Linked DNA regions of Nothobranchius furzeri. The protein of the gene in region 2 purifies or fractionates together with the protein of the main gene of each other region. This does not show direct contact. Links are inferred from orthologs where the notes say so. Each region holds a gene or a part of one and is shown on either strand. Other genes may lie near its edges. The genes, in order: vopp1b and wwox.

Region 1 (4,349 bases), on a different chromosome or scaffold from region 2:
TTATTTCAAGTTCATTCATATAGCACCAAATCACGACAAGTTGGTTGCCTGTGGAGCTCTCTGAGGGAGACTACAGAAACACATCAACTGTTTGAGTTGATGTTGCCTCACTTTGGAGTTGCTCAACCATGTTTCTCTCACTAAAAAGCACCCGAAAACGCCTGTTAGCTTAGGGTTAGCATGTAGCTAACCAACTACGGCGGAGGATGAACTGGCGTAAATGGCCAAGGAGCCCAGCTACGATCACAGCAGTCTGTTAGCTAGTAGCTACATTGGTTCATTTGCTTCAACCTCAGCTCCACCGCTTTTCTCATTCGAGACACTTGACATGACCTGAACGGCAGTGGTGGGAACCGCCTTTTTTGGCTTCAACTTGGCACATGGCGGAGCAATGGGCAGGCTATGTGATGAGACACGCAACATGACCAAAACGGCAGTGGTGGGAACCGCCTTTTTTGACTCAAAAATTAATAAATGGGTAATTGGGCAGTCTATCGTCCAGTATCTATGTCTATGGTTTTAGATTACGAACCCAGCTGATTTGTTTCATTCAATGGTGAATAGCTCATGTGGAAACTAATGACGGCTGAGGAGACACATCAGCAGTTACTCCCAAATTCCACTACCTCCGCTCCGCTCCGGTCCGCCCCCGCCTTCCGCAGCCGCTCGCTTCCAAACTCAATTTTTACTGGTACCCGCTCTAGACCGGCTCCGCTCTGGTGCGGAGACCTGAGGTGGGCAAACAAGCATGCGCAGGATTTTTGAGATCTTGCGATACAGTCCGAGCAATAAACGCGGAAGTTAGATCCAAACACCCGTTGTGTGGGAGAAGCATCGGCATGAACTGATTAATCTGCCCATCATGTGTGTTGAGAGATCAGCAGTGTTTGGATCAACAAAGGGTGACTACTTTGATAGTGGAAACTGTATTCATGGCTTACTTTTGTGCATTTAAACTTCAGCCGCCATTGATAGTTGTTAAAAGTTGTTAAACCTGTGCATATGAAACAAAAAACGCATTCTGTTTATCGATTTATTGTGAAAAACGGAAGTTGTGCCCGCTCCTTTTCCTGTTGGACGGTTGTGATTTCTGTCCATTTACTGCGGAGGTGCTCTGGCGTCCGGCGAAAATAGGATCGATTCTATTTTTGCCAGACGCCAGAACAGAGGGCGGTGCACGGCGCCGCACTGCCGCAGTAGTGGAATTGCTCTGATTGACTACAACGGGACCGATTTTGCTCTGGCGTTCGTGTCAGAGCGGAGCGGAGGTAGTGGAATTTGGGGGTTAGATTTATGTTTTAAAAAGACACACAAGGAGAGGAGTTTTACTTTTGTTTTTACTAAAGGGACACTAGTGGGTGCTAAAAGCAAGCCAACACGGCTTAGTAGCCCTTTAACCGGTTTGTTTACACTGTCTGCACTGTATGTACTTTCAAGATATGTTCGGCTCTCCTTTTACCATTTGAGGGGGAATGGTGGTGCTGTTGATGAAGGAAGGCAGCAGCAACCTGACCAATCACAGGCTCACCGTCTCCGTCGCTTTCAACGAATAGTTAGAAAAGTGGGCTCTACTCTGTCCGTCACTGCGAGCCAGCTGGAGAGCCCTTGCAACAATGCATAATGATGTTGCATGTCTGTGCTGATGCAGACAGAGAAGCATAAGTTAGGCTTTAGGGCATTCCTCCTAATCACATTCAAAATGAGTGGGAAAGCCAAGTGATATAAAATAATGATGACGTGAGTTAATATTGCATGAATAGACGTGTGTGTTGGTGGAGCAGCTACAGCAGAAACAGAGCAGAATAAAAGAGATGATAGAGTCAGTCAAAATGGGCACAACTGCAAATATCCATCAGTTAGAATTAGTCAGTTTGTGTGTGTGTGCACATGTGTTTATTTGTTTGTGTGTGTGTGTGTGTGTGTGTGTGTGTGTGTGTGTGTGTGTGTGTGTGTGCATGTGTTTACGTGTGCGTGTGTGTTTACATGTGCGCTTGTGTGTGTGTGCGTGATTACATGTGCACTTTTGTGTGTGTGTGTGTGTGTGTGTGTGTGTGTGTGCATGCGTATGTGTGTGTGTGTGTGTGTGTTTACATGTGCGCTTGTGTGTGTGTTTACATGTGTGTAGGTGTGTGTGTGTGATTACATGTGCACTTGTGTGTGTGTGTGTGTGTGTGTGTGTGTGTGTGTGTGTGTGTGTGCATGCGTATGTGTGTGTGTGTGTGTTTACATGTGCGCTTGTGTGTGTGTTTACATGTGTGTAGGTGTGTGTGTGTGTGTGCGTGTGTGTGTGTGTGCCTGTGTTTACGTGTGCATGTGTGTGTGTGTGTGTGGGTGTTTACATGTGTGTAGGTGAGTGTGTGTGTGTGTTTACATGTGCGCTTGTGTGTGTGTGTGTGTGTGTGTGTGTGTGTGTGTGCGTGCGTGCGTGCGTGCGTGTGTGTGTGTGTGTGTCCTACAGGTCCAGTGACCTACTGAGGATTCATGAGAACACAAAGGATGACAGAAGCACCAACCACGCCTAACAGTGCAGGTGTTTCCTCCTCCAGCTGCTTCAGCTCCTTTGTTCATTTCCCCTCTGTTTCCGTCTCCACCCAGAGGGACAGATTCTGCTCTGTTCTGGAGGATGGCTCGGGCCCCAGACGGTGTCATGGTGATGTGATTACTACATGATGCTGCTGGATAATGGTGCTTCCGTCAGAACCGAACCCAGAACAAGGAGTAACGCACCAAAGCCACAACCCCGAGACTACCGCACCGAAGCGGCCGCGATAATGATAGACAGCGCTCACCTCCAGGATTAAGCACAATGTCACGGCTAGTCCGACCGGTGGGGTCCCCATGGCTACGCCGGTATGAGAGCAGAAAGCCAAGTTCCGCTGCTGCTGCTGGAGGAGAGGAGAACGAGGAGGAGGTGGAGCTGCTCCTTTACTTCGGTTTCATCCTCCCAATACCGGAGACCACCCAGATCCACCAGCAGCGCATCGGACTCTTCGTGTCTAATAGCCGAGGAAAGCAAGAGGAGGGCGGGCCAGATAGAGAGGGAGAACCCGGTGGTGATGCTGCGTTATGCCCCTCCCCACTCCCATGACGCGCGCGCAAAGTGGTTGTGATGACCAATTTCTCCTAAAGCCAATAAAAAAAAAACAATACAGACTCAAATGACTAGAAAGTGAATGATAATTAGTCGTTCAGAGACTGTCCTCCTGAGGCTTGAGCTCATTTCTGGGTTGTTTATATCTCTTCAGCGTGCGTGGAATAGTAAAACATGTTCAATGATTATTTCTATCGGTCACTGTGAGTTTTTCATGCAGGCTTAACATGAAAATAGTCTTCTACACCTATCTCCTGCAAGAGCTTCTAATAGAAAATGGGACAGGGAAAAGCATGGCCTCCCCGGATCTATGCCCACATAAACAGGCTGTAAAGCAAACAGTGGGAAATGTGATCAGACATTTCGTACCCCTGATCATGGGTCATAATGTCGAGGTTCACACAGACAGTTAGGTAGCAGAGGTGTACAAATATGGCCATGGTACGGTTCATTCAATCCCACTCTTGCACGTGCTCTACTATGCTGGACTCGTGCACCTGCTGTCTATCAGGACCACCTACATTCCACGTCACCTCAATGTGGAAGCAGACATCTTGTTCAGGGGGAACGTCGTGACTTGGATTGACACCGTCACTCTGATCTGATCACTTAGATGTGCAGCATGTTTGGGGAAGCCAACATGGATGTGTTTGCCCCTCGTGAGAATGCCCTGTGCCAGCTGAGGGTTTCCCTGAGACCACAGGACCAGCCTCCGTTGGGAGTAGATGCGTACGCACACGGGCCTTGGCCCCAGCACCACTGATTACCTGACTCCTGGATCGGAGCCAGGAGCCAGCAGTGAGGGTATTGCTCCTGTTGGGATAACTCTCACTGATCCTACAGCACTCGGGCATTTTTGTGTGTCCCCTTTTCTCTCTCTTCCTTTAGGTCTAGAAGTTGATCCTTGTACATCTTTTACTGTTTATTTTTGTGAAACCCCCTCTTCCATTCCTCTCCCCCATTCTCTTTCATTTCCGTCTCCATGTTCTTTGAAATTAAAAACAACCAAAAGCATCTCTAATAAAGTTTAGATACCAAGTGGAGGATTATAGCTGAATCTAGTGAATCACCTGTAAGAGTAAAACTGTGAGGCTTGTTTTCGGTACTCAGACAGCAGTTCTGATTGCCCTACAGCCAGACAGAACATGGGCTTTAAGGAGTAAATTTTATTTGTTTTGTCTTCACTTATCTGTTACTTGTGTGGAGAACTTTTTAAAATAGTAACTGAAAGCTTTCCATGAGAAAAAAATCCCTGAAA
Region 2 (3,825 bases):
GCACGTCCAACCGGGAGAAGAGCTAAAGGGAGACCCAGGACAGGTTGGAGGGACTACAGTATGTCTTTCGGCTGGCCAGGGAACGCCTTAGGATTCCTCTGGAGGAGCTGGCCCAAGTGGATGGGGAGAGGGATGTCTGGGCCTCTATTTGGGCTGCTGCCCCCACAACCAGACCCCAGATAAACGGATGAAAATAGATGGATGATAAAATCTCAACTTCCAAGTCATCTGTTTACAAAAGACAGTTCCCAAAATGTTGTCAAAAACTCATGAGAAAGTTGAGATGTGCCTTTTTTTTTTGTTTTACAAGGAACCAAAATGACTCAACAAAACACTTTAAACCACAAGAGACTTTGTTTGTTTATAAGAAAACTCCACAGAGCACTTTTAGCCTTCCCAAATTAAGACGCATTCATAAAAAAGAAATGCATCTGTTCTCATTAAAAATTAAAAAGGTCGATAAGCCATCAATTTAAAAGAACGTTTAATAGCAATAAATCTTCCCTGTGGTAAAGTCTAGTTTTATGAGCCTGTTCTTGAAACCACTGATGCCAAACTAAGCACCATCTCTGTAGTTATTTGTGTTTACCTGTGGGACTCTGAGGATACAACCACGACTCGGGCAGGAGCAGAACGACGCAGGACGTCCTGCAGGCACTGAACGAGGAGGAAGTGACCCAGGTGGCAGATCTGGAAGGTGGACTCAAAGCCGTCTTCGGTTAGGTTCCAGGGCGGGGTGCACACTGCCGCATTACACACCAGAATGTGTAAGGGTCTACGGTGGAAAAACAAAACAAAACAAAACAACATTGATTTTCATACCACAAAAAAATGTGGAAATAACAAAGAAGTGAAAACAGAGATTTTAGAGTCCTGTAGAGAGTAACACAAATACGATACAGAGATTTCTCCTGAAAGTCCCTTTGGTACACAAGTATCTCAGATACTAAATGCAGCTGGCAAGAATCCAAGAGCAGCAACATGACAAGAAACCATTTAAACACTCTGCTGGTGGACCTAATGGGTGATGATGCGGTGCAAGTACTCCGAGTAACCGAATCTACCACTAGAGCAGCCTGGAAGATGACAGAAATAACGCTCACAAGTCCTGATGTTTTAAACACCTGGCAGAGGCCTGTGGGGTTTAACAGGCCCAGGCATGTGCTGGATTTCCACTGAACGGACGAACAGATCTACCTCCACACGTGGCACAGGAAAGGAGGCTCCTGGATTGGTCAAAGGAGCGAGAGATCCTTGTCGGTGACAGTGATGCTCCAATGAGCTCAAAAGCACAGTAACACAGGCGAGCAATCCAAACACACCCCACCAATTTTTAATTTCTTCCATTAGAATTAATTATGAGGCCAAAGGCAATTTGTGTACCCTGTGTTTAAGACTGCCTACTGGATTAATTAAAAACTGGATGCTGGAAAATTAATGTGTGAATTGTTATGCCTTTCTATAATGAGCCATCCCATGCCATTACATAGTAGTGCACTGTACGATCACCTTCAGGCCTCTGAACACACTAGGTTCATTAAAGAGCACAAACCTAGGCGGTGAGTCAACTTAAAGAATGCCAACCTCAGCATTTAATCAACACACACACATACATGCACGCCAGCAGTAAAGTACTTAGTTTTTTTTACCAAAACACAAGAAGCTGAAGTTAAATTTAATGGTTTGGAGGAGAAAACACACGTGCAATTTCATCATTTGACAGAAAAGATAAAAGTTGCCATCTTGCTGCTAAATTCCTCTGTGATTAAAAGACAGCAAATCACAGGTGTTGTCATTGGCCCCGAGTGCTGCTGTCCAACAGAGTGTGAAGTACAGCATCATTGTGCAACACAAGGAAAAACCCTTGGCTCGGTCCTCATCGGGCTCACTAGGGGCTTCACAATAACATCAAGGCACAAACTCTTGACCCAAGTTTTTAACCTTTCACTGAAGTGTTTGCTCTAAACTAATATTTACGCTATGAGAATTAAACGCTGTGACCTTTTCCTGCAAAGACAAAGGGGCAAAGCTTGTCACTCCAAGTAAATTGCACATTTATGATGGAAGAAAAACTCACATAACCAACTTTTCTCAGACCAGCAGAGAGAATTTCCCCCACAGCTCTTGGATGGGCCTCTGGTGAGTCTGCTTGTAATGTAAAAGGCCTGTTAATTCAACTGCCCACCAGTTAGTCCCTCTCTCATAAGCGCAGGTCTAATGAATGTCTTTAATAGGCCTATTGCTGCAGACCACAGTCCCTCTCTCCACATTAAGACCTCACACAACACTGTGTGCACTGTGCAATCTCAGCGCTGGTCAAACGAGGGTGTTAACTACCAAACAGGGAGACGTCCGTTTATATATTTACTTTAAATAACCCCCATGGGTGTGACCTCTGACCTCTATGATAATGTAGGCCAGCAGGAAGAGATTGCCTGTGTGAGCTGGTGGTCATTAAGGCAGCACTTTATTGGAAAGAGGAAGCTGGAAACACACCGCTCCTTCTGACCCATATTTAAGCCTAAAGGTGGCTTTAAAATTTAGATATATGAATCGGAAAGTATTCATGACGTAAACGGCAAATGGTGTGATAAGAAAGAGGAATCAGGGTTTAAATGAGAGAAGGATGAATGGAGGAGTATGAAAAAAAGAGAAAAGATCAGCTGTGGGGACAAATTGCACGTGTTAATTACGGCGCGTTCAGTAGAAATTGTATTAGGGCTTTCTGTCAGCGGCGTCCTCCATCAATTATGTCCCAATGAAATCTTGCTGCATTCAACAATATCAATATCCAGGTAATTTCATTTCAAAGGACAGGCAATTAAAGCAGAATCGGGGTCAATGGAACACAGAGCAGCGTGAAAGCCACTGACTAAAGCACTTAAAAGCAGGAGAGTGAGAAACGAGAGAACGAAAAGAAAAAGACTCTGATTACATTTCACCTGTCAATGACACGCTGCAGGAGCATTACTGTGCACACGTGTTTACAAACCCATGTGTGTCTGCATCTGTGCACATAGCTGTCTGAGGAGGTGTGCACATACCTGTGCGTGCGTGCATTTGCGTGCGTGTGTTATGCCTGAAGACATACGTGCAGTAATAGAGTGGTGGTAGACTCAGACAGCTGCCCAGTGCCATTCACAGCTCAGAGCTCCCAGCCTCCACTCCGCTCTGTTCGCCTTCTGATGAGAATTAATGTACTCTGACGTCCCCTGGGAGTCCCGTCCACCCCCAAACCGCACGGCTAATGAAGAAATACAACCTTGCCAAAATACTGAGATAAAGAGAGAGCGACGCAGATGGAGACAACATGAAAGAAGGACAGACAGAGAAACTGCAGATAAACAATTAGTTTAAAAAGCAATGGGAGAGAGAGAGAGAGAGAGAGAGAGAGAGAGAGAGAGAGAGAGAGAGAGAGAGAGAGAGAGAGAGAGAGAGAGAGAGAGCAATGTCATGAACAGAGGAGTGAAAGGAACACGTGGATGAGCTGGAATGAAACTTTGGGAAACGGAGAGAGTGAAGCCACCGTGAGGATTGGCCGTGACCAAAGGCGTGTGCCCTGGATGGCCATACCCTGCCCCAGGGCTGCTATGGGCGATGACTGCCCTGGCGCTCCCCAAAGGGCTCCCTTGATACCAACACACAGACACGCACACCCACACACACACACAAACACACTCCTCTCCATAGAGTCCTACGGGTGGATGACAATATTCATGACCTCAAAATAGCAACGAAACGACCGGATCGGATGCAAGACACACACCATTAAAGCTGACCACAACAAAATAAGTGAGAGAAAGTGTTTGACCAAAGTCACGCAAA

Evidence for each region.
Region 1: the proteins of wwox (region 2) and vopp1b purify together in Homo sapiens (affinity purification with mass spectrometry; 3 studies listed by BioGRID and IntAct, with this or other methods). This does not show direct contact. The link is inferred for Nothobranchius furzeri from reciprocal best matches to the Homo sapiens genes WWOX and VOPP1.

What each region holds. Positions count from the first base shown.
Region 1 is NC_091747.1:31,074,060-31,078,408, forward strand, and holds the start of vopp1b (WW domain binding protein VOPP1), read right to left. Parts: upstream 3,079-4,349; 5' UTR 2,841-3,078; coding exon 2,790-2,840; intron 1-2,789. UniProt on the Homo sapiens protein: Increases the transcriptional activity of NFKB1 by facilitating its nuclear translocation, DNA-binding and associated apoptotic response, when overexpressed. May sequester WWOX in lysosomal vesicles and thereby regulate WWOX role as tumor suppressor.
Region 2 is NC_091744.1:72,868,468-72,872,292, forward strand, and holds part of wwox (WW domain-containing oxidoreductase), read right to left. Parts: intron 776-3,825; coding exon 590-775; intron 1-589. UniProt on the Homo sapiens protein: Putative oxidoreductase. Acts as a tumor suppressor and plays a role in apoptosis. Required for normal bone development. May function synergistically with p53/TP53 to control genotoxic stress-induced cell death.